Rhinolophus ferrumequinum: one gene and its partners. The protein of the gene in region 1 purifies or fractionates together with the protein of each later gene. This does not show direct contact. Links are inferred from orthologs where the notes say so. Each region holds a gene or a part of one and is shown in the gene's direction. Other genes may lie near its edges.

Region 1 (7,382 bases):
ACCTCTGCTTCCATCATCACGTCTACTTCTCTGACTCTCCTGTCTCCCTCTTTCTCTTATAAGGACCCTTGTGATTATATTAAACACATCTGGGCAATCCAGAGTAATCTCTCCATCTCAAAATCCCTAATTTGATCACAACTGTGGTCTCTTTTTCCATGTAAGGAACATATTCATGTATTCACAGGTTACAGAGATTAGGAAACAGGTATCTTTGGGGAACAAGGCGGGGAGGGTGGTATTATTCCGCTTACCACTATTACTTGTGTAACTTTCAAAAAAAAACCCACTTATTAAAAAACCTTATATAATAAGCTTTTTCTCATCACCAAAAATTCCTGATAATCATAATTTTTAATGATGCCTAATAGTTCGCTATAGGTACATAACACAATTTATCTAACTGGTCCCAATAAGGGATATTTAAGTTGTTTTACATTTTTATGATTAAAGATGATGATTTTTATGATGAATGTCTTTGGGTCTTTGGGGGTGTGTATTGAGTCAGAAAGGGATTCAGGAAATGGACTGAGTGGTCAGAAAGACCTGAGTTCAAATCCAGCTCCACCTCAATTATCCGTGGCATTAGAGTCTCAATGTCCTCAACTGCAGAACGGGGATCCTTGCAATAGCTCCAATCTCATGGAATTTGTTGTTGTTGTTGTTGGAAACGAACAGCCTTTTTATTTTTTTATTTTTTCATAGAATTTTTAAAACAGCTCCCTTGAGATACAATTCACATACCATATAATTCACTCATTTAAAGTGTAAATTCAATGGGTTTCAGCCTCAGGGTGTTTGCAGGTTTCAATGATACTGAACACACAAATTGTCACCTCTGTTAATAATTCTTTGGTCATAATCAACGTTATTTTCTTAGTCTAGGTTCTTAGAACCAGCAATACAGGATAAAAGCCCAGAAACCTCTCAAACAGTTTTGAAAGTGGGCCTTATGAAGATAGAAAGTATTCTTCTGAGAATTTAAAAGTTTTGTTTTGTTTTGTTTTGGGGGGGTGTTTGGATAGACTTTGGGGGCATAAAATTGTTGGGCTATTTGACTCACGATGCCCTCTTTTATCCCCCTTATGTAACCCTAAATTATAATCACCCTACACACAGAATACACCCAGAATAATTAGGGGAAGTCGATTCGGGTTCACTGAACCTCCCTGCCCTGTCACCCACTCCTGCAGAGCCGTCGGCCTATTCCTCTCCATAGGCCACTGAGACTTCCTCCTTCAGTGAGGGTGGCATTGGTGCCATCTCCAATTGCCCATCTTAATTCACGCCAAGTACACTCATGGAGGGCTGGAAGGAAGACTAGGAAGTGGGTCTCCTCCAATTTCATGGGGTGCCCAACCAACCTACCTACCAACAAACCATAAAAACACACTCCATTTGGCCGTGGGAGGACTGCCAGTGGATTTCAGGGCTGAATTAACGAAGTGTCAGCTAAATCCAGGAGCCTGTTGTACCAGAGTGACGTGTGGGTGAATCCTTAGGCATCACGGCAGGTGTGGGAGCAGGTTGCGTGAGATGGGTGTGGGTTAGGTGGTGAGGATGAAAGGAAGGTGCAGGGAGGGTAGATGGAGGCAGAGGTGGGCGAGGGTGATGGTGAGGAATGGGGCCCTGGCTGGGGTTGGACCTAGTAGTTAGACCAGTGGTTTGGAACCATTTTTGGGTCATGGCCTCCTTTGAGAATTTGATGGATCCTAAGTAAAGAATGCACCCACCCACCCACCCACACACACACACACACATCCACAAATTTTGCACAGTGTTGGGGGTTCCTGGAACCCAGAAAGCTCATCCAAGAGCTCAGTATTAAGAACCTCTGGGCTAGACTAGTTCACAGGGACTTGTCAGAAAGAAATCCTAAGGCTCGTTAAAACCTTGAGACTGTGTGTGCGAGAGATTTGAGAGGTTTGCAGGTTTGGGAATTAAATTCCAAAGTCCACTTATTCTACAAATGCTTTGTTTTCTTCCATTTTTTATTTTGAAAAATCTTCAAATCTGCCAAAAAGTTGCAAACTCATGTAGTCTGTAACTACGTTTTCCACTTGTCAACATTTATCCCTAAATGCATCCCTCTCCCCACGTATGCCTGTGCTGTCAGGCAGGAACACATGTTTTTCTGTAGAACCAATAGAGTAAGCTGCAAGATACTATGATACTTCTTCCCTAAACGTTTGGCATGTAACTCTTAAGATCAAGAGATTATCCTGCATAACCACAAGAGAACCCTCACACAACATTTAACATGGACAACTATCATGTAATAGGCGTATTCTATTCAAATTCCCCCAGTAATACCAATAGTGTCTTTTTAGCTGTATTCTTTCTACTTCCCCTTTTTCCTCCTTCTTGCCCTCCCTTCCTGCCTTTCTCATCCAGGATTAAATCCAGAATTATACACTTCTTTTAGTCATATCTGTCAGGCTCCTTCAATCAAAGACACTACTTCAGAGATTTGTTTTCTCTTGTGACATTGATATTTTTTTTAATAGTCCAGGCTAGATGGTTTGTAGAATGTCCCCCAGTTTGGATTTGTCTGATTGGGTCCTTGTGATGAGATTCAAGTTAGGCATTTTCGTCAGATGTCATGTCCCTTCTCGATATATCACATCAGAAGGCCAGAGGTCCCTTACTGATGGTAAGTTTGATTTATGGTTAAAGTGGGGACCTCCAGGTTCCCTTTTGGAATTGATAAGTGGGTAACACTGTAAGACTGTTTTGAAAGTCTCCAACTGTGGCAAATTCTGGGGGAGCCAGAGGTGAGCATCCAGATCCAGTCCTTGCTCTCATGCTGTTTTTACTGCGGAGGAGACAGACAATAATCTAGGAAACAAGTAAATAATTACAAAATATGCTCTTGTCTTCAGGATATGGATAGGGTGCTGAGATAGAGAAGTATCAACTCTAACATTTAAAGTGAACTTAAAGGTGAGACTTGAAAAGGAATAAGGAGTCAGGCATGGGAAGGTAGGAGTGGAGGTGGTGGAAGTGGTCAAGCTTGGAGTTGGAAGGAACCAAAAGATGGGCTTCTGGTGGTCTCAGGGAGGGAAAAGCGATAAAAGAAAGGCTCTGGTCTTGTAATAATAATATTGTGCATTTGGTATCTGCTAGACCCTGTTCTAAGTGTTTTGTACGGTTTACCTTGTCTAATTCTCCCCATAACCTTGGGAAGTAGGTGCCATTCCTGTTTTTATGCCATAAAATCCACAGCACAGAGAGGTTAAGTCATTGACCCAAGGTCACACAGCCTGTAAGTGGTAGAGCTGAAATTCAAACCTGGATGGATCTGACTCCACGATCTCTACTCTAAACTATGTCAAGAAGGAGGAAGCAGGAAAAGCAAGAAAACAGAATGTGGAAAATAACTGGAGTCAGAGCAACCCAGGCTGAGTATGGAAGTTCTGTTGATAAAGGATTTAGAATGGGAACACAAGACCACAGAAAGCCCCATAAGATCAAAGAGAGAAGAATTTTAACGGCTAGGAGACAACATAATAATATAGGCCAAAGTTGGGTTGCCCATCCTGCTCTCAGTCCATGCACAACCTCCAGCTTGTCCCTTCATGGGACTCTCACAATTCTTCCCCTGCTCTTCATCCTCCCCCACAAAAATCAGGGTATTTACATGGTCTCCAGTGTCTCCCCATAAATCGCTTTTTAATTACAAAGGGAAAAATAGGAACTTGACAAGAAGCAACCTGGCTGACTCCAGCTTGACCAAGTGATGGAACTGAACATTCAGAGGGGTCTTAGACAAGGCTCTGGAAGAAAAATCTGGGGTAAAGTGTAAGAGAAGGATTTTTTGAGGAAGGCTCTGGATGAAGAGAGGAGTCGTGTTGGAGGAAACGATGGGTGACTGGGCAGGATCCAACCGGGAAGAGGGGGTGTCTCTGGGAGGGATGGAGAAATCTTGAGGTGGGGAGGTTCTGAGTGATAAGAGCGAGTCATCATCGGAGAGGGACTTGATGGGAACAGTTTGGGTGACAGGAGGTCAGCACAGGGTCCGTTCAGTAGGGAGGTCGGGGTGAGTAAGCTCTGGACGACTACAGGGTGGAGGGCTTAGGACAGGCGTCTCCAGGACAGTCCTGAAAGGGTATACGAGGGGTGAGGCTCTTAGGCAGCAATCTGTGGGTGGGGGAGGCCCTGTGAGCTCGTCCCGCCAGACTGAGGGTGGAGAGCTTTAAAAGTGGGGGTCTGGGCGGCGGGAGCCGGGGGCGGGGCCGAGGGCGGGACCAGCACCGCACGGCGGGTCCCCCCGCGCTGCAGGGGGCGCTGTGAGCCTGGGCGGCCCCGGGCCGGGCGGTGGCCGCTCCTAGTGAGCGCGGCCCTTTTCCGGGTTCCCTCCTCCTCCTCCTCCTTCTTCTCCTCCTCCTGGTCGCTGCCGTCGCTGCTGCCCCTTTCCCGGCCGGCGGCTGCCGCTGCTGGTGCTGCCGCCGCCGCCGCCGCCGCCTTGGGGCCGCGAGCCCAGCGGAGGCCGCCGCGGAGCGTGAGCGCCGCCCGCCCCACCGCCCCGCCGGCCGCTCCAGGGCCGGGCCGGCTCGGCCGGCGCCCCCCGCGCCCCCAGCCCGCCCGCCCCCGCGGGCTCGGCCTGGCGTGGCCGCCCGCCGCCGCGCTCCTCCTCCTCCTCCGGCGCCCCGCGGCCCGCCGCCTGCTCCGGCCGCCGCCCCGCGCCCCTCGCCGCGCGGCCGCCCTCGGCGCCCCGCGGCGCTCCCCGGTCCCGCCCGCCATGCCCGGCCCGGCCGCGGGCAGCAGGGCCCGGGTCTACGCCGAGGTGAACAGCCTGAGGAGCCGCGAGTACTGGGACTATGAGGCTCACATCCCGAGCTGGGGGTAAAGCAGCCGCCGTCCCCCGCCGGGTCCTCTCCCCCCCACCCCGCCCGGCCGCTCCCCGGCGCAAACCGCACTCGCCCCCGGGCGGTCTGGCTGCCCGCGGGCCCCTCTGCTGGTCCGGCGTGTCCTCGGATCTGGGGTGGGAGGCAGAGCCTTGCCCTTGTCTCCCTCTCCCTGCCGTGCCCCCCCCCCCGGACCCCAAGGAATGCTTTCTCTCTGGGGAGAAGTGTTGGGTCCAGGGCCTGGTGGAAGGGAGGGAGCAGCCCTTCTCACACGTTTGGCTTTTTATTGGGGTGGGAAATCAGCAGCTGTCCTCTTGAGCTATTCGAATTTTCTGCTTTTTTAGTTTTTTTTGAAATGAGGCTGGGTGGGAGGAAATTTTTAAAAGACGTCCAGATACTCAAAGCTGGCGCTGTCTTAAGGGTGTGAAATAGAAGGCAGGTGTCGCGGCGCGCCGGGCAGAGGGCTGCCCTCGGAGCCTCCGGGGTAGATGCTTTGCTCCCCCGTCTAGATTGGCACCGAGCAGTGCCTTCCTCCTTCATCTCCACAAGTTACCAGGGACCAATTAGGTGAGGAGCTCTGAGCAGAGTGAAAGGAGCCAAGTTTATGTTGTGGCGTTCTTTTAGGGAAATGAGTTGTGGCGTGATGGATACACATGTCCAAGTGCTTGGTTTATAGAAGTAGCTGGATGGGGATGTAGAGTGAGCATAGGCTTGGTTAATCCCAACTCCTGGCATTGATGTTTCTCTCTTGCCTTTTACAGTAATCAAGAAGATTACCAACTGGTTCGAAAACTTGGTCGGGGGAAGTATAGTGAAGTGTTTGAGGCCATTAACATCACCAACAATGAGAGAGTGGTGGTAAAAATTCTCAAGGTGAGTGTCTTACGAGTGGCATTACATTTTTTACCCCCTCCACAGGTCAGAAGGATACAAATTACCCCAGCCACATTCTAGAATGAGCAATTCAAGCTCCCATTTTACGTATCTTCTGTCTGATGTACCCCCACTACTCCTCCCACCCTATTTTCCTGTGAACTTTCAAGAAAATACGCGGACCTGTTTCAAATTGAGGCAGGATCGCTCGGCAGCATCCTTGTTGGAAATGTATTAGGTTGGTGCAAAAGTAATTGCGATTTAAAAGGTTACAAATACTTGCAAAAACCGCAATTTTGCACTAATCTAATAATTACAGCTCCCAAAGTGAATATTCTGAGGGGGCTCCACTTGTTACAAAGTAAGTAGGTGTTCAGAAGAAAGAATAGCCTTTCCATGAAGATCCATCATTCCAAGGGCTCCTTGAGCACTATTTGGTTACTCTTGGTGCCCTTAGTTATCCCAGAAGGAATGTTGGAAAAAATGGGAGCTGCTCCAAAGATGAGTTTGCAGCCTGAGTAGAGGGAAACATCTCAGTGGATAATCACTTGTTTCTTCTTCTTTGGCAACAGAAGTTTCAGGTGGGTAGGTGTAGTGAGCCACTAGTGCCAGAAGGTTCATTGTTGATTATCAGCCAGTAGAAGTGAAATTGGGAGCAGTAGATGAGTGCACTTTTCACTGCTGAAATAATAATTGGAATAAAACAGTCTTAGTGTTTGGTCGAGTAGCATGTTGGACCTTTTGTCGTCTCTTAGATGAAGATACGATCTCTTTTTTCTTTTTTTGAAGACATGATCTTAATGAGCGTGAAGAGTTGGCTAAATTTTCCTCAGGTAACTGATTGTGTAGCTTTAACCATATTTTATAGGTTGTCCTAAAAAGTAATTATTAGAATCTGTGAAGTGTCCTCAGCATTGCCAGATCATTTAATATGTGTGCATGTAATTTATGAAATATTGAGAAGACCAAAGAGTAATCTAAGCACTTCTACAGGTACAAGATTTCCAATGTGGCCATTTTACAGAATTTTCTGTGAATAAGAATTTGGGGTTGAAACACTTTGTGTCTGAAGGATGGAGTTAGGGTAGCTGTGTCCCTGTTTAATATGAGAGGTCAAGCTTATACTGTCTGAAAAATCACCTTTTAGAAAACTGATCAACTCTTAGTACCATCCAAGCCTAGTGATGAAGAAGCAGAGTTGCAATAGAGAGAAATAAGTTCTTCGTACTGTCAGAAACACGGGGGGTAAGAAGTGAGAAACTGATGTTGAAGATGTGGTGTTTGACTCCCCTCTTCCCTAAATATGAATGGTACTTACAAAGTCACATGGTCTTTACAAATGTAAATATTTAAAGAAATGTTCCTTTCAGAGAGGCCACCTGGGGAAATCATACAATTTTTTTCCTTTGTACATTAGTGTAAATGTTTTTAGTATAAGCTGCTTAAAATCTTTCTAGGAAGTAAGCAAGGCATAAATGAAATTAGAAATATCTGTATTCTGTTGCTGTGCATTCAGAAGAATGAACTGCTTACTCTAAAGCAAATCCGGAAAATTGTCTAAAGTTTTTAGAATACATGCAATTTCCTGTGGTCTTTTTTGAAAGGAACAGTGTCCAGGTGTACACGTAAGTAACAGTACATTCATTTAGGAAAGTGTCACAT
Region 2 (7,852 bases), on another chromosome or scaffold:
TCTCACCTATTTGGCACCTGCACCACTTCCTTGTTTTGACATCCTTTCAGGTTTCTGTGTCTTCCCACCCAGATGCTTAGACGGACTTCCTCCATTCACATCCGTGTACCGCAGAGCAGAACAACCCGTGTCCTATGGTCTGGGGTGTCAGATGGATGAGAAAGAAGAATACGCACAACAGGTACTCAGGAGGGCCAGTGTTGGGAAGGGAACAAACAATGCTGTGATGGGCTGTGGGCGTGCTAGTTTAAATGGGGTGTCAGAGGAGCCCTCACCCCGCCTACCCCGGAGGTCCCCCAAGGTCTGATGCTGTGTCATAGAGCTATTTTTTTCATTGAAAGATGAAAGACCAATAATATATACTTGTTGAAAAATTTTAAGCTGTCCTTTGCTTTTATTTCTAGTTTTTATTAGAAGTTACAGACTTTACATAGAGAAGGGGTGTCAGGGGGATCCCGTGGCTGGAAAGAACTTGGAGCCCAAGATGGAGGAGCTTGGATTATCCATCCCAGAGAATGGAGGGAGCTGAGGGAGGCGTCTCTCTCACTCACCCTTGTGTCGTTGGAATTAACCGCTGTTCATTTGCAAAAGGTGAAGGAATTCACAGACTCAACCTGAAATGAGGAGAGCAAGGGAAGTTTTACTGAAGGTCAGGCAGACAGACATTGTCCGTGTTTAAAGAAGCCAGCCTGTCCCAGGCAGTAAGGAGAGAAACACCGGCGGGGGCGGCAGGAGGGGCTGCAGGGGCAGAGTCTTAGAAAACTGCACCTCACTTTAGGTTAGCTTTTTCTGATATAGGAGAGGGTAGGTGCAGTTCCTTACAGCAGGAGATGTGACGTATAGACTGAGGTCATTTGATTGGCATATGTTGGTTATATAATTAGTTTTCTTTCTGTGCATGCTCTTACCCATTTCTTACAGAAAAACCCGCAGGGTGGGGGGCAAGCCTTAACGTTCATTTTATTTTCATTGTATTATAATGAGGCTAGAGTTCAAATAACGGACAGGTTCCAGCAGTTTGTGTAGGCATCAAGAACCAACTTACTCTGGTTAGGGTCTTCTTTCTTTTTTCTAAGGGTGTTTGGACATCTTGATTTATTTCTAAAGCCTGGGCAGTTCCTGGGGAGGGGATACAGGCCTGGGCAGTCTTCCTTCAGGCTCACTTTTATTAACCCTTTTTCTGCCTCACCAACCCTCAGCCACCACGTGGCTCCACGTTCATGACATCCTTCTGTCCTGCTCTGTTCTGGTTCCACATGACCTGTTGCTCTTGAAAAATGACTCAGTTGAGATGGCAGTGCCACTGTACTGACCAGTGTGAGTCTGTGCCTGTTGGAGGTGCTGGCTTGGCGTGTCGGCCATCAGAACAGTGGTCCTTTTTATAGAGTGTTTTCTAAGCCAAGAGCTGGCCTGAGAGCTTTACACATTTGACTCATTTCACCCTCACTCCTCACAAGATCCTACAAGGTAGTGTGGATAAAAAAGGGGCCACATACTAAACGTGACAAACTCGGGGGAGGCCAGCATGGCAGGCCCTACAAACTCAGAGACTGAAATTAACCACATAGAATGGTGTGAACATAGTAATTCCTAACTAAGAGTGGATCATGGCAGGTAGTCACATCCTTGGCCTGTAGCTTCCTTGACAAAGGTCAATGTTTACCTTAAGTCAGCCTGTCTATTGTCTTTTTTGCATCTAAGATAGCATGCCCTGGAATGTCAGAGTACTTCCTTTTTCTGGACCCCTGAAGGCACAACCCACCAGCACCAGAGCAGACAGACTATAGAACCCCTCACTGTTATCTTGTACCCGGAACACCATCTCTATGTGCTGTAAAGTGTTAATTATTAACTATCCTATACCCACCAATGTAAGAGAAGTATGCATCTCTCCATTTTACTTTTTATCCAATCCCAGAGATTTTCCTGCTCTGCTTTCTCCCACCCCCTTAGCTCTTTTGCTGTGTTAATTGATTTCAAGGTTTTTTTTTCAAAATGTGTCAGAAATCCAAAAATAAACAAAAAGTTGATATTTTGACTATTTTATGCATTTAATAATAACAATTTGAGCTGCTTTGTGTATAAATGACATTATTTTTATGTGTAAAAATTTCGGATATGTTCACTCAGCTATATCTGACCATCGCGGCAATTAATCTACCCCCAATGGATTTCATGTAACCCTCCTTATGTCTCTTCCTTTGATTCTAATGTATAAAATAAGCTGCAAAACAGCCATTCTCCAGAGAATTTTCTTAATCTGTTGAGATTGTGCTTCCCGGCAATTGTCCTCAGTTTGGCTCACGTAAACTCATGAAAGTTCTCCTCAGGTCTGAACATGTCTTCCGTCCACAGCAGTATCAGGGATCACCTGTGTTTGACACAGGAGAACGCTGAGGCTCTGCGAGGTTACAGAAGTGAGGCAGAACCAGATCCAAATTCAGATCTGTTGGACTCCAGAGCCCCTGGTCCTGATGGCCAGGTCACCTTCTGCTATTTGGAATCCTTAGAATGCTCTGGGTGGCCTTTCATATGGAGACGTGATTAAATTCTGTGGAATAACGGATGCTCTGAGGCCAAGCCGGTAATGTTAACTCTGGAAGAGGTGACTTGTCTGAGCATACGTGGCCATCTCAGTGCAGAGAAGGTTATCCGTGCCTCCATCCCCCATTCAGCTGCCTTATAGTAACCTGCTCCATCAGGAGGGAACAGAGTATACAGAATAGTCAAAGCAGGGGCAACTCACTCTGATGCTACCGGTTAGTCCACCACTTCTAATAGCATCTGCTGCAGGCCCAGCCCTGCAGGTGCATCAGATGCAAACAATGATGCTGATGGGCTTGACCTGGGCCTGTAGGGCTTAGGACAGAAGTTGAGAGAACCGCTGATATGATTCAGTAGTAACACTGCAGAGAGGCCAAGGGGTGCACATGTCGATAGGACAATGTCTGTGAGCAGAGTATTCTTAATAGAAATTTCTGTAGCGGCCATGGGATAGAGGGAGTTGGTAAAGGTGCTGGTGATACGGGTGGTGTCTGGGCTGGGCTGGTTTTATGGAAATGGGATTTCAGGAGTTGGGAGAGCTGAGTATGTGATGCACAGGAGATTCTAGGAGATAAATCTAAGGCGGCAGCAGGATCATCTCCTCAGCCCTTCATGCTCCTATAGAGAGGAAGAAGAAAGCAATTGCCTTATTGGCAATCTAAATATGGCAGTAATAGGGATAATAGTAATTAGGATATCAAATGCTCTAGCCTCCAAAAATATGTAGAGTCCACTCACCGTAGGGAATTGACTTGATATCAAACAGGAAAAGGAGCCAAGATGGTACCTCAGTAGTCAGGGTCCTACTTCAGTATTTCTACAGTATTGACCAGATAAGACTGTCAAGGAGTTATTTTAAAACTGAATGTAGGGCGGCCAGATGGCTCAAGTTGGTTAGAGCGCGAGCTCGGAACAAGGTTGCCGGTTCAATTCCCACATGGGATGGAGGGCTGTGCCCCCTGCGACTAAAGATTGAAAATGGCTCTGGACTTGGAGCTGAGCTGCGCCCTCCACAACTAGATTGAAGGTAAACGACTGGAGCTGATGAGCCCTAGAGAAAACACACTGTTCCCCAATAAAATTAAAAAACAAAGGCAAAAACAAAAACTGAATGTATTAGTCCACATTAATTAATTCATTCCAAGACTGACAGCTATGATCTTAGTAGTTCTTTTCTATTCTCTTTTTCTCCTGAAAGAGCTTAGACTCTTGTCACTATTACACAGGCTCTCAAATTCCTTGAGGACTAAAGTAGCAGGGAAATATATGCATAAGTGAATGAATGAGCGAAATAACCTACATAGACAAAATGTGTAGATGGTATGCGGTATGATCTCAGTTAATTTCAAAGAGGCAGTTGGTGGTAGTGATTGAGAAAGCAGCCTCTAGGGTTGGGCTGTCTGTGTGGTAATCCAATCTTGACACTTATTGTGACGTGTGACCTGGGGCAAGTCACTTTCCTACTTTGTGTCTCATTTTCACCTTTGTCATTTGGGGCTAATAATACCACCAAACTCATAGGTTTGTTGAGAGGATTAAATAAATGAATCCATTTAAATGCATAGTACAGTGCCTGGCATATAGTAGGCATTCAATGAAAGTTAGCTATTACTATAAAATTATTTTATCAATTTATTTATTTAGTCAGGGATGCCCATGCTTGTAGGCAGTCAGCCTAAATGAGTGAACTGGGGGGAGCTGAAGGGCCTGATTTAAAAAGGGGAGACTGATTTTAAGGGCTGAGTGGCGCCAGCGCTGTGATTTTCAGAATTTCCTCTTGGGGAGTGTCACCCCAGGTCCCCGCATGGCTCCTGAAAAGGTCAAGATCTTTAACATTTTCTTCCCAAGCCCTTATTTATTTATTTATTTATTTATTTATCAAAACCCTGCTTTTAGAGAGCACAGCCTCTTGGCCAGATCTTGAGTAGAGAGGTGTGTTCTCAGCACCTCATCTTCCAGCCTTCGGAAGCCCTGTACCCCACCAAGTGGCGTGTGCCCACTTCACCTTCCCGCCGGGTCCTGCGTCCAGCACGTTTCCCCAGACCCTGGGCCTCAAGGAAGGGCCTCGAAAACTCATAGAGTGCACCGGTGTGTCACCCTTCCCAAGGTGAACTGCCAGTCAGGGGAGTGACGCTGCATAGGTGGAATTTGGGGCGTCTGCAACGCGCACAAGGGCGGAGCGGGGTGTCCCTGGCCCACCCCGTCTCACCAGCAGGTGGCGGTCTATCTGCGAGGCCTGCAAGGTTCCATTCCAGAAACTTACGGGATGTTGATGCCATTGCATGAGTTGCATGACCGAGTCTCCCAGAGCCAAGCGCTGGGCATCCGCGAAAAAGTGAGGAGAGAAGGCTGCGCATCCCTAATGGAGTGACTCGAGCATTCGGACACTACGAGCTTCATTCGGGAAGGCTTCAGGTAGGGTGAGTACTGAGCAGCGCCCGGGAAAGGGAGCGCCGTCCTTTTCTCAGGGCATTGTCCTTGGCTTGCATTGACCGGCTTTCTGACTCTGGAGAAAGGTATTTCTGGAACGGAGCTGCCTGATCAGAAGGAGGGAGCGCGGGAAAGAAGCCCGGGAAGCCAGCCGGTGCCCGTTCGCCGGGCACCCTGCAGTGAGAGGAGCGCGGGTTCCCTCCGCCAGAGGGCGCTGTGTGGCTTTCCATCGGCCTCCCTCTCCAGCCCCTAGAGGCTCTCGCCGCAGCGGCCGCTCTAGCTGACTCGGTGCGGGCTCGGTGGTTCCGGGCGGAAGTGAGGCGCCGAGCGGAACGGCCTCTGGTGACATTTTCTCCGGGCGGCGCGGACGAGTGAAGGGACTTGGTCGTAGAGCCTGCGGAGGCGGCGAGATTCCCTTTAGCCTCGGCGGGGCTCTGACCGCGACCCTCTGCTCGCCGCTGGGGCTTGTGCCGAGCAGGAGCAGGCGACGGTGGCCGTCGCGTCCCGAGTGACCGCGGCTAGGAGAGTCCCGGCCCGGGGGTCGGTGCGTGCCCCGACGGGGCGCGCGGAGCCGGCGAGGAGGTGCGGAGCCGCCGCGGAGCGCAGGTGAGGCGGGCAGGGGCGCGGGGCCGCGGCCTGGCTACGGGTCGCTCAGCGGCACCCGGGCTGCTTGTCGGGCCCGGGTGGAGTGGAGTCGGAGGGGTGCGGGCCGCGGGGGAGAGCTCCGCAGCGTCCGGGCGCTGGCGTCGTGACGGGCCCGGCTGGCGCTCGCCGGCCGTGAGCGCCCGGACTTGGCGGGAGGCGCGGCTCGCGTGGGGGCCAACGACGGGGGTCGCCCGCCCGCCCGCCCGCCCGCCCGCTGGTGACCCTCTTGTCCTCCTGACCCGGCCGGCTTGGCGGGCCGAGGCCCCTTCGCCTCCCCGGAGCGCTGGGACCCGGGGCTGAGAGGACGCGGGAGGTGCCGCAGTCTGTGGGGCGCGCGGGGGGCGGCCTCGCGGCCCTGGAGTTGCCTTCACGCAACTTTCCGGCGCCCGGGCCCGCGGGGGAAGCGGCCGCGGCGGCTCTGCCCGCCCGGGTCGGGTCTGGCGCCGACAGCTGCCCCGACTCCCGAGAGCCCAGGCGGCCGCGCTGGCCTCGGGGAGGGAGGAAGCGCTTTCTCGGGCTCGGCGCCGCCGGCCTCTCTGCGCTTCCACCACGTTCGGTCGGCGGTCGCCTCCGGTCAAGGGCAGGGATGCGTCCGTCCTCAAAATTGACCGCTTCTGGTGAGTTTGCCCACTTTATTCGGAAAACCGGCGAGGATGGAAATGGACGAACCTCCAAGTTCCAGACCGTCGTCTTCTCGGACTGTCCCCAGAGTTCTCTTCTTGTCCCCAGGAGCGCTTCGTGCTTTATTTCTCACAGCGCCCACCTCTGTGTGTCGTTGGAGCCTTTGCCCCCAACAGAACCGCGCGTCATTCCTTCGGCCTGTTAAGTCGTCCTCGCCGCTGTCGCAGGATAGATGCTCGCAGCTGGATGGCGTGAACCGCTGGACGCGTTCTCCGAGACGGAGCCGCTTGAGCACTTTATCCTCGGAGGCGCTTTTCGCTGCTTGCCTGAGTGTTTGCTTTCTGAATCCTTCCATCTAGTAGGATGAAAACCCCACTGCACGATGCTTTGTCAAGGTTGGACCTCTTCATTACAAATACCTCTGGCAGTTTTGCTTAGGCTATTGTTGTGCAGTGTCGTTGGGCACCTGCTAACAGTTTGAATCACTCCTTTTCTTCTCCTGGGATATTTTAAGGACGGAGTCTATTAACTTTTTAATGTCGTTTTGCTGATCCTGGCAATCAGGATTCCTCCAGTAAGCATTGCCTTTTGGTTTAACAAGCATTTTTAGAGGCCTACAATGGATAGTTATTACCTGATGTCCTGGGGAGTCACAAAGCGAACCGTTTTTTAATAGGAAGTGTAATATTTTGGCGGAGTAATCTGACTAATACAATGCCTAGTTGAGTGCTATCTGCTCAGTAAATACAAAAATTATGAATTCAATTTGAATTGAGAAAACTAGGATGGAATTTACTGTGATAACCTGTATGCTCCTTTAAAAAGAGCCTCCGTGAAATTTCATGCAATTCCATTAAATGAGAATTGAAAATGTTTTTAAACATTTCTAAATCAGGTTCCTTCAGACTACTCTTAAATACCACTTGCAATCTTAACGCTTCAAACCATCTCTTTTTTGTAATGTTAAGATATAGGTGTAAACTTCACATACAGGTATACAATACGAAAGGAAGGGAGAAACTTCAAGGTAATTATACGTAGGCGTCAGCTAAATATGATTTCTTAATGGAAAATTTTTGTTTTCTGACATCTTTTTGTGGAAAAGGGGAGGGACTGGATTTTGGAGCTACAAACTTTTTCCCTTATTAGCACCATATTAAGTTCACAGTGTAGACATTCCTCACTAATTCAGTTTATATTATTCTTAAATGCGTTTATGAAAGAGCAAGTGTCATAATACTTTGTTTTACAGTCTTCATGATTTATCCAAGACCCATATATTAAGATAGGTTCAGCTTTAGATTCTAATTTAATGCAGTTCTGTTAGAACTGAGTGCTCAATGTGTGACCTTCAAAGGTTTCTATTTTCATTAGTACCTTAAGTCTCCTTACTGTATGATGAATAACTTTTGGGAGCTTCTGTAGTCACTCATTATTCAAGGGGTTGTTTTGCTGGGATCTTCAATCTTATGGTTTTGTTTTGATGTGTGCATGAATAGACTTGATGTATGGGTAATAAGGATTTTTTTTTTTTTAAGTTTGGAACCATTATGAATTAGAGACCCAAACTCTACATTTGTAACTTTGGTAAATTATCTTCGACCTTTGTAAT
Region 3 (7,058 bases), on another chromosome or scaffold:
GCCCATCACCCCCCAAACCCTGCACTACCTGCATCCTGTCTAGCCATCAGAGTGCACTGTCACTGTGGCTTTTCTTTTTTATGTTGTCTTCCCCAAACCCCTTATTCTAACAGATCAGGATAACACTGGTCATTTAGACCTCTTACAGAGTTTCTAGGGCTCACACAGAACAGAGATGTAGAGAGAGGAATTACAGAACATGTGCTGAAAACTCCAAGGACAACCACTCTGAGTGTTATTCTAGGTTCTTATGTACCATGGGCTAGAAACAAAATTCTAAGGTAACCGGCTAGAGAGGCTGTCCCCCCTGGGTGCATTAATCAGGAGATTATCCCACCCTTAGTCTCTGTGGACCAATCATGCTAGTGGTTTATTTATAATTTATCTGGGAGGATAGCATGGGGCCAGGGTAGGGAGGGGGAGCATGGATACATAAAGACCACAAAAGCAACACACAAACACACACATCCTAGCCCTCTCTGGAACTCAAGAAGAGAGGAAGGGACTTTAGCCTTCTCCTTGTGGTGTTAGGGAGAGGTGGAGAGTAAGAGAGGCAAGGGGGTAAGTGGGTAGAACCTGCAGGGATGAGGCAGAGGGCTGTGGTGCACAACAGGTATCAGTGTTTGCCATTATAGGCAAGAGGCTGTGACTACCCAGTTGTAAAACTCTTCCTGGTTTGTATTACGAATCACTGTAGTAATGTGGTAATATATATGAGAAGAAAAGGAGCCGATAGAGATATTACAGAAGGGAATATGAGGCCCAGAGGCAGGCTGCATCCCCTAGAGAAATGGGGAGGGAGGAGGACAGAATTGGTGTCTGATGGCTCTATATAGGGGAATCTTCTTGAAAGGAGGTATGCCCACATTATGGTATCTTAAAAGAGCTGCCTCCTCTCCTCCAGGTGAAGAACACAAGGCTCATTGTTGGTATGCAGAATAATCATGGAGGAGGGTTTGCATAAATAAATGGGGCCCAATCTTGAAGTCAAGAGAAGTTAATGAGGAAGACCGCAGCTTTGCAAAGTAGGAGCTACAGCCTGCACACCACAATGGATGTGGCAAAAGCGTGGACCAGGGAGTTAAGCTGGGCAGGAGCTGGTGGGAAGACTCATCAGCATCACTGGTGGTCTGCTTGGAAGCAAAGGGATACTGATTTCCTGAAGCAAGCTTTGCCTCTCCTGAACTCATTCTTCCTTGCCAGTTCTCCAGTTCTGTGGCTCCTAGAGGAGGGGAGAATCATCTGGTCAGGCTCTTTCTCTAGAGAAGTGAGATCAGAAGGGCAATGCAGAGATGGTATGAGGTTCGTCCCACTCACTTCTGGTCAGGAAGGGCCCCTCCTAGGAGGAAGTTCCGGTTTCTCTTCAACCTGTCCCACTGCCATAGGTCTTGGACTTGTGTGAAAAAGGCACATGAGAGCGGAGGAAGACATTACCTCTGGCTTGGGGGCCAAGGGGCAGCAAGGCAGTGGTGCTGGGACATTAGTTTTCACTCATGGAAAGGGAAAAGTGACAGACCTGTGGGCTCAGGTTCTCTGAGGGCCAAAGAGTTTTAAGACGGCACTCTCCAGCTTTCTCAGGCTCAGTCCCCGTGTGCCTGCAGGGTAGGCACAGTTAGGGAAGGGAATGGATATGTTGGGACGCTACCTTGTGGCATAATTGAATGACGAAGGCATCCTAGAATGTTGACTTGTACACGGGGAGGGGAAGATGGTAAATATTATACAACAAAGGTTTTTTTGGAGGGGAGTGGGGAATAGGGCCTCCATGCGATGAGGATGGGAGCAGTTGAAAGTATTATGAGACTTCAGGACACAAAATGAGAAACTGGCTGAAACATATGGGACATTGAGGGTAAGCAGAATTTGGTGTTCAAGAATGAGGATAATAATTCTGGCATGCTGATAAATCTCTCAAGAAGGAAGCACATGATGATACAGAATTTCAGTATTAGAAATGCTGGATGCATGAACATTGCTTTCCAATCAAAATCCTTTAGTATGTAGGGAACAGATAGATTATCTTGACTATCCATCTGTTTTGGAATACCTTCTAGCCTCTGGAAAGACCACCAAGAACGTCTACTGGAGTGCGATCTCTCCTGGGATTTGTTTCATTCTCTGTAACAGGAAATTGGGAACTAACACTTAGTTCTTCTCACTTGACACCAGACATTCTATCTGGCCTCATAGTTTGATTTATACTTCTTGGAAGGAGGAACTTATGGCCCTTGCATTCCCCATGGTGCCCAGCTCTGTGCCTTGCTAGGTATTCTGTCAACATCTATTGAATGAATGTGAGTAGCAGTGAGTAGAGGGAGAGCAGGTATTGTCTGTTTGTATGTATATAGCAGGATCCTCATCCCATCATGATGGGATGGATGTTCATCCATCAGAGTGCAATAGGGGTGTTGATGAATGGAGCACCTAACTCAGGAGATGGGGTGGGTGGGGAGAGGGCTGCTGGAATTTTGAGAAATAGTCTTTAGATGGGAGTTTGTAATTATTATGGGATGCTTGGGGTGAATTAAACTTTCACTTGGGGTGAATTAAATTCGCTTGGGGTGAATGTAAACATGTAAATGGCTCATCCGGCCAGCATGGTATTTGGTTGGTCTTACTCAAAACTTAAGAGCTGGAGGTAAGTGTCCGGAGAAACCTGAAGTTTGGTGGACTTTAGTAGGGACCTAGGTTGACTGGCAGTTCCTGAGTATCTGGAAAGGTAGGGTCTCTCATAGACATCAAGAGGCTTTATGCTAGGATACTGCTTTGGTCCAGAAAGGGATAAAGGTGTGTACAAGTTGAGGCAGGGACAGGGCAGTGTACGTAGCTTGTTTTCACCCTGGCTGCTCTAAGTGTTAGAATACATTGACAGCATCTGGAGATGGGGGAGGTATGAATAGTATGGGATGCCTGGCTGGAAAGGTATAGAGGTGGTGGAGTGGAGATGAAGCATTATGGGATGTGGTAGTGGGTTGTGCTGGGAATATTATGGTATGTTTGGTTGACTATGGACTCCTTGAAGTTATTATGGGATGTCAGGTTATGGGTGGGGAGTAAAAATTATGGAATACCTTTCCAGTATTAGAGAAAAGGAGATTAGATGTCTGTAGGGTGACAAAACTGCAGATCATTATGGGATATCTCTTTGATGGGGAAGAGTGCTTACCGTGTTTTCCTGAAAATAAGACTGGGTCTTATATTAATTTTTGCTCCAAAAGACGTATCAGGGCTTATGTTCAGGGGATGTCATCCTGAAAAATCATGGTAGGGCTTATCTTCTGGTTAGGTCTTATTTTTGGGGAAACACGGTATTATGGGCTGTGGAAATATATTGAGTGTGTGAAGGCTGAGGGTGGTGGTGAGAGGATCTAGACCCTAGCCTGCAGGGGTTGAGGGCAGCTCCAGGGGGTTGATTATTATGGGATGTCAGTATAGAAAGTGGGAGACTGATTATTACGGGATGTGTGTGGGAGGAGGCCCAAGTGTCCGTTGTTGCAGTGTGTGTGTGGTGGTGGGGGGGGTGAGTTTCTGACTATTATGGGATATCAAACTGGGGGTGGATGCAGAGTGGTTATTATGGGATGTCTGTGGGGGATGGGGATGAGTATTATGGGATGTGAGGCTGAAGTGCTGGGTGGGGTGCTTATTATGGGATGGCCACGGGGAGGGAGAGGTGACGAATTATTATGGGATGTTAGCATTAGGGCCAAGAGTGAAGAAGTTGGCAAAGGATGGCTATTATGGGATGTGGGGGGGGAAGGGTTAGTTGCAGAAGGTCTGCAATATTATAAGATGTCAACAGCTCTGGCATATATGTGTGTATGAGTGTGTGTGTTGGGGGGGGTGTCCATGTGTATTATGGGATGGCCAGGAGGTGGGTGGTTGCCCGGGTGACGCGCGCGCGCGCTCGAAGGGGGCGTGGCCAATGGTTGCCAGAGCGACGAGGGGGCGGGGGTTGCCCGGGAGACCTAGGGAGGAGGGTGGCGGTAGTGGAGGGGGGTTGGAGTTGGTTGAGGTTATTATGGGCTGTCCGTGGGGGGCGGGGCCTGTGCGGTGGGATTTCCCGGCCGGTGTTTCGGGCCCTTTAAGAGGCGACGCCGGAGCCGGAGCCATTTTCCCCCCTTCGGCCGCGGCGAGGAGGAGCCGAAGCGGGAGTGACACCGGGCCGGACCCTGCGCGACCTGCGGCAGCTCCGGGGTGAGGAGAGCGCGGGGTTCCCAAAGAGACGCCCCTCTCAGCCCGGCCAGCCCCGAGGGTCATCCTTCCACCCGCCCCTTTCTCAGGCGTCCTCCGACCCGCGGACGGCCCCCTGCCCGGAGGAGCCGACCCTTCCTCTCTCTTCCCTGCTGGGTGTCTAGCCCCCTTCCTCCCACCCCAACCCAGTCAGTCTGGCTCCCCGCGACTCCCACCTCGGGCTTGGTCTCCCACAATGCCCGGCGCCCGCCCCCACACCCTCTGCTCACTTGCCCCCCGGGACACGTGGCCCGACCCCCTACCGGGTGGGAGCCCTGTGACCCGTAAGTTCCTGCCTGCAGCCCCCCGGAGCGCCCGAACCTCCACGCCCCCTCGTCCCTGCGGCTCCTTGGGAGAACCTGAGTTGTCCCAGAGGACAGCCTTTGGAGAGCTGCCCTGTCTGGGCACTGGCCCCTCCCCAGGCGCAGGGAGGTGCCCCCCCACCCCCAAGTGACCTTGTGTCCCCGAGCGCCTCGCCGCCGGCCGCCTCCCGTGGCCCCCCCCCGCGCTGCGGCCACTCGGACCCTCCTCCCCCCAGTCACACCCCGTTCGGTCCAGCTGGGCTTCCCCCCCTCGCTCCCCACGGCTGCACCAGCCTGCCCTCGGGGGCGTCGCTGCCTCTCATCTGGGGGGCTCCAGTGGGGTAACCAGCTTCCGGGCTGTCCCCGAGGAGTGTGGAACTAAGTTCAGCCTGAGTGGTTCGGGTGCCCCACTAGGGTGGCTGTGGTGGGGGGGGCCGGTGGTGGTGGTGGTGGTGGTGGTGGTGGGCGGAAAGAGCGGGTGGGGGTGGGGGAGGGGGACTGCGCGTCACTGACTGTTCTCTCTTTCCCCCCCCTCCCCCGCACAGTGACTCGGGCCAGTGTAGAGGGCCCCAGGCCGCAGGCAGGAGCAGCTGGGCCAATTCCCTGGCCGTGAGCGGAGCGGAAGGGGATGGCGTCGGGCCTGGGCTCCCCGTCCCCCTGCTCTGCTGGCAGCGAGGAGGAGGATATGGATGCACTTTTGAACAACAGCCTGCCCCCACCCCACCCAGGTAACATCTTCCCCTAAGGCTCAGTGCAGGAAGGAGGCTTTTGGGCCCTCACGAGTGACTCTAGTGAGGCAGGGCTGAGTTTCTGTCTCTCTCTGCAGAGTCTGAAGTGGAGGGCATCCGAAGGGAGTGGTTCCCCTCTGCAGAGCTCTTGTGGGAGGGGGTGGAAGCCATGTGCCTTCTGGGCTCCGAGGACCCAAATGCAAGCTTTCTGCACTGTCTTAAGGAATGCTATGCAGTTCCCAGTTGAGGGAGCTCTTTGGGCTGGCAGGCCTTACCTCGTGTGGGTCCTTGGAGGAATGCAGGTAGCTGGGACCCCTGGAGGCTGTGGTGGTGGAAGGTAGGGGCTTGAAGATTGCTGTTTTAAACAGACCAGCTCCACATCTGTGCTGGTTAGGATTCTGGGGTTGCTGCTGTGGAAAGGAAAGAGGGAGTGGTGGTTACTCTCTATCTGATTATTTTTAGCTTCTGATCCGTTACCGGTTTTCTGCGCTGTTTCAACTGTGTGAAGTTTGAATTGCGCTCCTTAGCTGGGATCTGGAGAGCTTTTAGCCAGGCAGGTGGCTGGAATGTTTTGAGCGGCGAAATGATGGGGCTTAGGGGTAGGATGTAATAACCTGGACGAAATGCTAGGAGGGGTAAAAGAAGGGAGGTGACACCCTGGGCACCCTCCTCCCTTGGCAAGTGGACATAATCCCCGCTTTTTTTTCCTAGAGGCTTCTCTTCTGCTGTGCAGGTAGCCTGGGGTTTGGGCTGGTGGTGTAAAGTGTTTGTGTAGGTGGTGTTGGGGGTTGTGCTGTCTGTTTTGGGGTGGCTCCTTGAACTGGCCAAACCCGTATGGTTATAACCACTCCGTCTGATTGGAGTAGCCCTTGTTTACCCCCAAATGATAATTGAGGTCATGCTTCTAAGTAGATGTCTCTTTCATCTATCTGTCCTTCAGAGACCCCGGCTAAGTCACCTACTTGTTTCCTTGACCTTTTTTTCCTAGCTTCATTTTGTCTACGGGCCATCTCTTTATCCCCTCTATATTTTTCTTTTCATTCTGGAGACTGCTGGTCCTGTTTTTGTTTCCCATGGAACATCTTTTACTTTTGCCTTTTCTCTCAGCTCTAGTGGCAAGTTGAGGTGGTCTGGGAGAGAAATGTTTCCCCATTTGGCATTTTCTAAGTTGGAAGTCTTTATGTCAACCTTGAGGCCACTTAGGAGAGGGTTCAGTCTTTTTACTGAGTCTTCAGCTGTTGGGATAAGAAACTTAGGTTTGAGTTTCCTCAGTGTACAGGGCAGGGTAGCCGGTTTGTGTAATGTTGCCCAGGGTGGTTGTGGGGTGGTGGTGAGCCTGTCCTTGCTGAGGGGCATGCGAAGTAGTAGTGCCACCGAGCCAATGCTGGTTGCCCGTCTTCGCTTCCCACTGGCCCCTTGGTCTGGGGCTGCCCCTGTGTGGATTAGGAGCTGTATGGGCTCCACAGGTGAACTCTGTCCCAAGCTGTAGTATGACCCAGTTTTTCCACTTGCCACACCCCATTCTTACCCCTTTCCCAAATCCTCTATCGTATTTTAGCCAGTTTGCCGCTTACCTGAGAAGTTTGGGGGGTCTTCAGTGGATGGGAGGGTGTCTCCTCTGCCTCCCTGGGTTTGTCCTTGTGTCCACGTCCAGCGTTTGTGGAGGTGGTGAAGAGGAAGAACCCAGAGTTGTAGCTGACTGGGGCGGGGGGGGGAGGGCAACATGGGATTGTTGGGGCAAAGCCCTTAAAGAAAATGATTCTTTCTGGTGAGATCCAGGCTGGTGTTCCATTCC
Region 4 (7,939 bases), on another chromosome or scaffold:
TCTCCACCTGTCACCATAGTGTTCCTAAAATCCTTCCTTCAGTTTAAGCTAATCTGCAACACCCGAATTTTTTTCCGGCTAAGGCCAGCATGGCCATAGCTAACTACACCAGAGTCCTAGCTAGGCTAGGAGTGTTAGGTGGAGACTAGGAACACTGATTCTTTTTCAACAATTTAGGGTAATGTGTTCCTGATAGTTGTTAGGACTGATGAAATGAAAGTAGGAAATCAAGACAGTGAGATGTAGAGAGAAAACTGTCAAAAAAGGCACAGTGCCCCTCCCCCACTCCAGGTTCACTTCCGTCTCCCCCTCCCCCCACTCCCACCCACCCACCCACCCACACACACACACACACACACACACACACACAAACACCAGAACCTGGCAACTTCCCTAAGCTAATGTTGTCCAAACCTCATGACTGGCCAGATGTGCAGCTGAGCCCAGATCAGCCACTTTATCCTGTGGGGTCTCTGTTTTCCTTCCTTGACCTTTAATACCTATTCTGTGGCCAGCAGCCAGTGGATGTATGGAGTCTGATGTTCAAGGCAGATTCTGTGTTGGAAGATGTCAATTGGAGACTTAATTTAGATAGAAGCTAGGATCCTTGGAAGTGGGTGAGAGCAGAGAAGGAGGAGGGCAAGAAGAGAAGAAACTCTTGGGAGCCACCAACATTTAGGGGAGGAAGGAGGAAGAAAAGCCGGTGAAAGATTGATTAATAGATAGAGGTAACCAAGGACAAGGCCAGGCTGTGTTCTCATAGTCTGGTGAGAGGGGAGTGGCTGGGATGAATGAATGGGATTGGGAACTAGGTTCAAGAGTGGCCCTTGGGGCAGGGACTGACAGAAGGGGCATGCGTGGGAGGTGAAGGAAGAGGCAGCAGGCAGCTGGGGCTGTCGCCAACCGAATATGGCCCCCCTTTTCTCTCATGTGCCAGGCCTCTGATTACTGTTTCATTGGAACAAAGGAACCTGGTGCTTTACAATAAAATTAGCTGATACACAAAAGGAAACACTTTGAAAACAAAGTCAGGTAAACTGGGGAACATAGTGTTTTATCTACTTTCTAGATTTGGGCTAGAAGTGGCCCAGAGGGGTAAGTTAATGCTCAGTGAGGGGAAGACGTTTCAAGGCAGTGAATGGCAATCTCCAAACCCACTACAAGATTCCAAGCCTCCAAAGCTATCCGGAAAGCAGAAGCATAGAATATGTACACCCTAAGCCTGAAAAATGGAGTTTCTTCACACAGTGGGTCCTTCTGCCTGTCCTGGCTCCTCAGACTGCAGCACCAGGGAGAGGCGTCGCATTTCAGTGGCCCGGCCATAGGATTAAGAAGAAAAGGTCTGAGAACTTGACTAAATGCCAGGCATACTTTAATCTCCCAACAGCCCAATGCTGTAGGAATACTTAGTTTACAGACAAGAAGATTGAAAAGATAAATGACTTGCCAAAGACATCCAGCTAGGAAGTGGCTAAATGGATTTTGACCAATAGCTTGAGCTTTTCCCCTTGAACGTACCTATAGGATGCTTTGGGTTGGGGGTGGGGACCAAGCCTCATGCCCCTCATCTGGATATTCCCAAATTGGCAATGGTCTATAGCTGGCAGAGGCTCTGTCAGCAGGGCACTGGCAGTGACACCCTTTTTACAATCACTGACGTGCAGGCCTCAACATCTCAGCCACCTACCATAAGCACCCTAAAGAACTGAATCCTTTCTGTGAATGACTGTGTGAGAGAGAGAGAGAGAGAGAGAGAGAGAGACGTGTGAGGCATGGTGACTGAAGGTGTGACAGTTTTGAGTATATGTGAGCTGAAGACACTGTATGTGCTTGGAAGACAGATCTTGCTTCTTCAAGGATAATATTTGTGGAAGGGCCAGAAATCATTTGGAATGATCTGGGAACAAACTACTTTTAGAGTTCAGAAGGGTAGAGCAAGAGGGGAGGCTGTTTTCCTCCAGACACCTCAGCCTGGTCACGGGCCTAGTGTGTACAGACAACATATGGGGGAATGGATAAAGCTCAGGCTTTGGGCCCAGACAGTCTTGGCTACTTGACTTGAACAAGTCACTCTACTACTCTGACCCTCAGTTTGCTCAACTACAAATAGGATAGTAATCCCTAACTCACACAAAGGAGGCCTCCTGGGACTCAGAACCTGGCTTCTCAGTGTGACCTCTCCAAGGAAGGCCCTCACCCACATCCACTCGCTGGTTTGTCCTCACTGACAGTGTAGGGCATAGGTAGGGTGGATGCAAACTTAGGTGCAGCTGGAGGGCTCATGTCGCCAAATCAAATGCTTTCCCAGAGCCTGGTCCTCACTGCTATGCAGGCATCAGTGTACTGAGTCAGAAACAATTGCTGTCTCCTTTCCAAGGGGCCTCCTTTGCCTGACTGCTGGGCACTGGGGGCTCCGAGGTGAATTAGTGGTTGTCCTACAGGTACACAATCCAGGGGGGTTTCTAGAGGGGATTTCCACCAGGGTGGTGCACACAGAAGGTAGGGAATGTCAGCAAAATCTGGTTATATTGAGTGGGATTAACTATTCTAGTTGTAAATACTCCCTAAGTAACTTCATCCACAGTACACCATGTGCTGTCCAGGCTTACAGTCAAGTGCTTGGGCCTTTGGCCTCCACAGAAGCTCAGAACCTCACGAGGTGTATTAAATATCATTCCATTTGATCTTCATAACGGAGCAAGGATTGCTATGTTATCTTCTTGTACAGCACAGGAGGGTGAGCCACAGATGAGAGACTAAGTGGGAACCATGGGACTCAACTTCTAATGTTCTTTCTGCTCTACCACTCTGTCTCATCTCACATTCACACGGTATCTGTTAGGCCTTCATCTAGGTCACAGCTTCTTGGGAAATAGAGCAGGAATCTGAGACAGGGCCCCAGATATCAGGGGGATCTCTGTTCTGATATAGTCAAAATTGGTTCTCACCCTAGGGAGCCCCCAGTCTGAGAATGGACTTCAACCTCCGTGGCCCTGCCAGGTGCTGGGCCTCCCACTGAATACACAGTCCTCAGCTCCTGGCCTTTCCCCTTCCATACCTTTTCCCTCAATGATTCCACCAAGCTACCACCCAAATTTTAGTCCCCACTTTAGGACACACTGCCCTTCCCTAATCAGTAATTCTTCCCACCTTCCCCCTCTCAGTGTCAAACTTCCCTCCCCATCCGACCCCCAGCCCCATGAACTTTCAGTGGGGAAGGGTTCTTTGAGCCTGTCTTTCAACTCCATTTTCCATCCCCATTTTCCGAGTTGGGGAAACAGGCCCAGAGGGAGGAAGGGACTTGCCAAAGGATGTATCACCAGTTACTGACCACGCTAAATCTAGAACCCAGATTACCTAACCAGTAGCCTCAAGCTCTTCTCCCTCTTCACACAGCAGGACGCTGACCCCTTTCCCTCCACTACCCACACTGAAACAGCCTTGCTTACCGATTGCCACTGTCCTGGTCAAGTCCATATTACAGCTCACCTGAAATGTTGGGACAGCCTAACGGACAGCAGCCCCCATTTTGACCACAGGACTCTAAGGCTCTCACATGCTGCACACACCATCTCATCTACACTTCCTTTCTTTAATAGGTCTTCACTCATTGCGTGTCCTGGCCTCAGGCTCAGCTCTGTTGAGCCTTGCCCCCCAGAAACTCCTTTTGGAAGTTAAGACAAACACTGCAAATGATTCAAGGAAGAATCTGAATCAGAGCTATGACTTGAGGTCTACTGAAGGCTTTCAGGATTGGGTGGCTGGGAGAGACAAAAGAAACCTCTTGACTCCCCCCATTTACCTCTCCCACCAGAAGATGTACCTCTGCAATCTCCAAACCCAGTATTACAACAGCCTTTGTGCCTTACCTTGCTGCCTGTAGGCACCCCTCACTCAACCCACCCTCAGCTGCTGGGATGCTGAGCATCTTACACCACAGTTCTGAGCCTGTAGTCATGTGACCATGCTGCTTGCACATTGTACTGTGCAAGTCCAAGAATTTTAACCAGGTATTAAAGTTTTCTGCCATTTGGTTCCATCTTTCCAACCCTGACTTTCATGACTACAACCACACTGGGAGGCCTTTAACAGTGTCTTGCATTTACTCTTTGGTGCCTGTTGTTGAAAATGACTCGCCCCTCCATTTCTGCCTGATGAAATCATTAAGACCCAACTTGAATGCCACCTCTTCCATAAGACTTTCCCAGTTTTCTCCAGCTAGGAAAAAAATCTCCCTGCTCTGAGCTCCTATGATAAGATATCTAAGATATCTAAGATATCTATACATACATTTCTGCCTTGCTTTAGCTCTTCTGTAGCATCTCCTCAGCCGGGTCTGGAGCCCTGGTAAGGTACACCGTGAGCAGCCTATTCTCTGTAATCGCACCCAGCAGCGGGTGCGACATGAATGTGTCCGCCTCACCCACGGTAAGTGCTCAGACAAGTGCCTGTTGCCCTTAACACAGGACTTACCGCTTACACAGTTCATTTTTAAGGCAGGCGCCTAACAGAATGGGCCATACACGGTTAGGTTACACCGCCAGGGGAGTTGAGACATTCCAGCCAGTCGCTAGGGTGTCTCTATAGCCTCCTTCTACCCCCCCACGTACCGCGCGTGCGTGCGTGCGTGCGTGCCTGTGTGTGTGTGTGTGTGTGTGTGTGTGTGTGTGTGTGTGTGTGTGTGTGTGTGTGTGTGTGTAGGAAGTGGGGGCGGGGTACCCTCACTGGCTCCTCCTCCCAGCCCACCCTGTGGATCAAGTCCTAGAAGGTCTCCCTCCAGTCCAAGAGCCTCAAGAATCTCGAGGCAGCGGTGCTGGAGAGATAGGGTCCTCTCCCACAGATGCGCCTCCCACGCACGGTTAATTTATCTATATATATATTTGTTGGAGGGAGGGGGAGTTCAATGAAGGAAAGAGGTGGGGCGAGGGGAGGAGGCGGGCCGATGGTGACTGACGCGAGCGCTTGGGAGCCAATGGTCCGTGGGGGGCGTTCCCCCCATTCAGGACTCCTCGCCTGGCTCGCAAGGTATGTTAAACAGCTGCTTTTAATTTGGTCTCCCCAATCTCCGCCGTTTGGGGGGCTAGTTCGCCGGGCGGTCGCTTTGGCCGGTCCGACACAGTGCGGGCGCCGCGGGCCCCGAGACGGAGCTTGGGCAGGCTCGGAGTCCGAGGAAGGCAAGGGGCAGGCCAGGAAGGAGAGCTCTTGGCGCCGCCCGCTCGCCAGTGTTTCCCAGCCGAGGGGGCTCCGTGGGGAGGGGGTCGGCCCGGCCCGGGGTAGCCAGTACGCTGACCGTGCTGCCTAGTTTATTTCACCGAGCAGTCAGTTTCGGTAGGTTGCTGTGGCGGACTGGGTAAGGGGGCGGGCAGGAGAGGATCTCCCTATGCTTCTGAAACGCCTTAAAAAAAATTATTGTGAAGGGGGAAAAAAAAAGGACTCCGCACACCGACTGGAACCGGACCGGAGCTGCGGCGCGCGGGCTCGGCAGGGGGCAGCGGCCTGAGCCCTCCGAAGCTGAGTGGGTCGAGAGCTGGAGTTCGCGAGCGAGCTGAGGCCCGCAGCTTTCTCCGCTAACCACGCCGGGCGAGTGCGGCAGCCGCCCCGAGGGTTTCGTTTCTATCCGCAAACTTGTCGGAAGGGGCGGTGGGCGCGCTCCGGGGAGGCGCGGGCGCCGCGGGCCCGCGGTTGTTATGGACTCTGGGGGCGGGGAAACGCAGGCCTGGCAGGAGGGGCGGCCGGGGGCGGGGAGGCCACCGGAAAGAGCCCCTCGCGTAGGTCTAGGCGTTCCGAATTCGTGGGCCGTGGTGGTAGAGCCGGCCTTCGGCCCATGAACCAGTCAGGCCGCGAGCCCGCGCGGAACTCGGCCCGGCGGTGTGGAAAAGCTCCAGCAACTCGGCGGCTTCGACCCTTGCTACAGCTGATCCCACAAACAAGGAGCTGCTTCCCTCCCCGCCCACTCCAAGGCGGCGGGGGCGGGGGCGCGGGCGTGCGAGCGCGCCCACGAGGGGGTGGCCTGAAAGGGGCAGTGAAGGTCGGAAACTGGGAAAACAGTCTCCACGCTCGGACTCGGGAAAAGGAAATGCATCAGCGGGAGGGGAGGGGCGCGCCTGTCAGCCGGGATGGCGGCCGCGGGCTGGGAGGTGGGGCTCCGGCGCGAACCGCTGCCGTCAGTCGGAACGCCTCCGGGCGAGGAGTAGGGGCCCGAGCCCCCAGAGCGCCCGGCCGCTCCGTCATCCACTGCTTGGCCTATCCTGTTTACTACGTATCTACTCCGACGACGGCTTGTGCAACTGGCGCGGAGAACTGGGGGGCGGAGCTTTTCCTGTCTTCCACCCACCTTGGACTCTTCTAGAGGGCCCGCCTTCTCTTGTCTTCCACTGGTTGGGCGCGGCTCCCTTTTATTCTTCTCGGTTATCTATTGGATGACATTCTCCCGAGTTCCGCCTATCGGAGGCCGGGCTGGAGTTTAAGTTGCTAGGATTTTTTTCCGTGAAGGGCGGAGGGAGGATTCCTGCGGCTTACGAGACACGCAAGGTTCCGCCCCTACTTCTGATTGGTGGGATGTCGTCCCGCCTCCGGCGTAGCGAGCTTGGAGGGGGAAGTCCACCCCTGCCTCCCGCCCCCTTCCCGGGTTGTATGAGCTGTAGGCACACGTGTGAGACCCGCCTTGCTTCTTCGAACTGTCCTCCCGCCCGGAAGTACCGGACTTGGAGCCTTTGGCGAGGCGGGGCGGGGAGAGCCGAGATAACAATGATCCTCCAAGGCTCGAGATCTAGTAGCCTTTGCGATGAAGTTAGGGGTTGAGGGTGTGGAGTGTATTTTAGGGGCTTAGAGCTTTGTGTTCTGCAGGGGGTGGTATCTGTCCTGCCGGGCCGAGTACTAAAGTTCTGACTGCGGCCTGGCTATTCCCGCGCCCCTTGACTTCCCAAAGATCGCCCTGAGCTCAAGCTTGAGAACGCTACGGACGCTGACAGTGTGTTTTCTTACCAGAGCAAGGCAACCGCTGTCCTTAGCTGGCTTTATCTAAAACTAAGCAATCTAGGATTGGCCTGGATGCCTTAGGCTGGATCCAGGGCAACTCATCCCTTGTTGACAGAGAAGTCAGGAGGCCAAGGGGGGGGGAGAGGGGGAGGAGGCGCGGTGGCCGAATCCTGCTTGGGTTCGCAGTGGTTCTTGATATGAGGTGGGAGCGCCGTGGTGCACCCAGTCCAGGGAGTGGAGACGACCCAGAGTTAAAGGTAGCCCCTGGTCTGTTCTGCAGAAGCGCCAGTCCTTCGAAACCTCCGGGGGATTTGGCCCGGGGTTCGCTTTAGTTGGTATTACTTATTTTTAGAGTTCTGTCCTGGGGCAGGGCTTGGCTCCCGGCAAGGCTGCTCCCATTTGTCGGCTGCTCGTGGGGTTCACAGTTAGCTGCCTTGTCCTTGCGGCTGGAAGCCACCCTTGCAGTCAGGCCCACCTGTTGCCAGCGCTGGCTTCTGCGTCTCCGCTTTGCGTAGGGAGGACAAGATAGGAGGACCGAGATTCCCTGGGGCCTGCCACTTGTGGACTGGGCCTTTTTGCTGGAGAGCGGGAAAACTCTAGTCCCGCCCCCTCCTCTCCTGGCGCTCCGTGAGCGCCCTCCAAAGCAAGGACAGGGTCAGTTCGCTCTATCTGGTGAATAAATAAAAGCAACCTAGGCACTGCAACCACTTTGTGTGTTCGAGGCACTAAAACCTATACAAAGAGGGTCTATGTTCTGCCATTAATATTCGGCCGAGGAGAAGGTGAACAGCCGTTCTTACTATTTTTTGTCCCCAACTCGAATTTTTATCCTTTCTCTGAAGTGTGGGGTGAAGGTTTATGTATGCCATGGCCTGTTTGACCCCCTTCCTCAGTTCTTCGAGTCTGAAGATGCCTCCCTGGAAATCGCAAGTGCCTTACGCTTCACGCTCCGCCTTCCGGA

Evidence for each region.
Region 2: the proteins of CSNK2A2 (region 1) and ARK2N purify together in Homo sapiens (affinity purification with mass spectrometry; 6 studies listed by BioGRID and IntAct, counting the BioPlex papers as one, with this or other methods). This does not show direct contact. The link is inferred for Rhinolophus ferrumequinum from reciprocal best matches to the Homo sapiens genes CSNK2A2 and ARK2N.
Region 3: the proteins of CSNK2A2 (region 1) and CHD4 purify together in Homo sapiens (affinity purification with mass spectrometry; 4 studies listed by BioGRID and IntAct, with this or other methods). This does not show direct contact. The link is inferred for Rhinolophus ferrumequinum from reciprocal best matches to the Homo sapiens genes CSNK2A2 and CHD4.
Region 4: the proteins of CSNK2A2 (region 1) and SIN3A purify together in Homo sapiens (affinity purification with mass spectrometry; 3 studies listed by BioGRID and IntAct, with this or other methods). This does not show direct contact. The link is inferred for Rhinolophus ferrumequinum from reciprocal best matches to the Homo sapiens genes CSNK2A2 and SIN3A.

Annotation. Positions count from the first base shown.
Region 1 is NC_046298.1:10,605,840-10,613,221, reverse strand, and holds the start of CSNK2A2 (casein kinase II subunit alpha'), read left to right. Parts: upstream 1-4,371; 5' UTR 4,372-4,741; coding exon 4,742-4,845; intron 4,846-5,608; coding exon 5,609-5,720; intron 5,721-7,382.
Region 2 is NC_046302.1:38,048,924-38,056,775, forward strand, and holds the start of ARK2N (protein C18orf25 homolog), read left to right. Parts: upstream 1-4,839; 5' UTR 4,840-4,964; intron 4,965-5,293; exon of another isoform or gene 5,294-5,580; intron 5,581-6,613; exon of another isoform or gene 6,614-6,635; intron 6,636-7,852. UniProt on the Homo sapiens protein: AMPK substrate important for exercise capacity and skeletal muscle function.
Region 3 is NC_046293.1:23,841,652-23,848,709, reverse strand, and holds the start of CHD4 (chromodomain-helicase-DNA-binding protein 4), read left to right. Parts: upstream 1-4,043; 5' UTR 4,044-4,197; intron 4,198-5,080; 5' UTR 5,081-5,163; coding exon 5,164-5,263; intron 5,264-5,538; exon of another isoform or gene 5,539-5,670; intron 5,671-6,837; exon of another isoform or gene 6,838-6,967; intron 6,968-7,058. UniProt on the Homo sapiens protein: ATP-dependent chromatin-remodeling factor that binds and distorts nucleosomal DNA. Acts as a component of the histone deacetylase NuRD complex which participates in the remodeling of chromatin.
Region 4 is NC_046289.1:99,846,811-99,854,749, reverse strand, and holds the start of SIN3A (paired amphipathic helix protein Sin3a), read left to right. Parts: upstream 1-4,935; 5' UTR 4,936-5,025; intron 5,026-7,939. UniProt on the Homo sapiens protein: Acts as a transcriptional repressor. Corepressor for REST. Interacts with MXI1 to repress MYC responsive genes and antagonize MYC oncogenic activities. Also interacts with MXD1-MAX heterodimers to repress transcription by tethering SIN3A to DNA.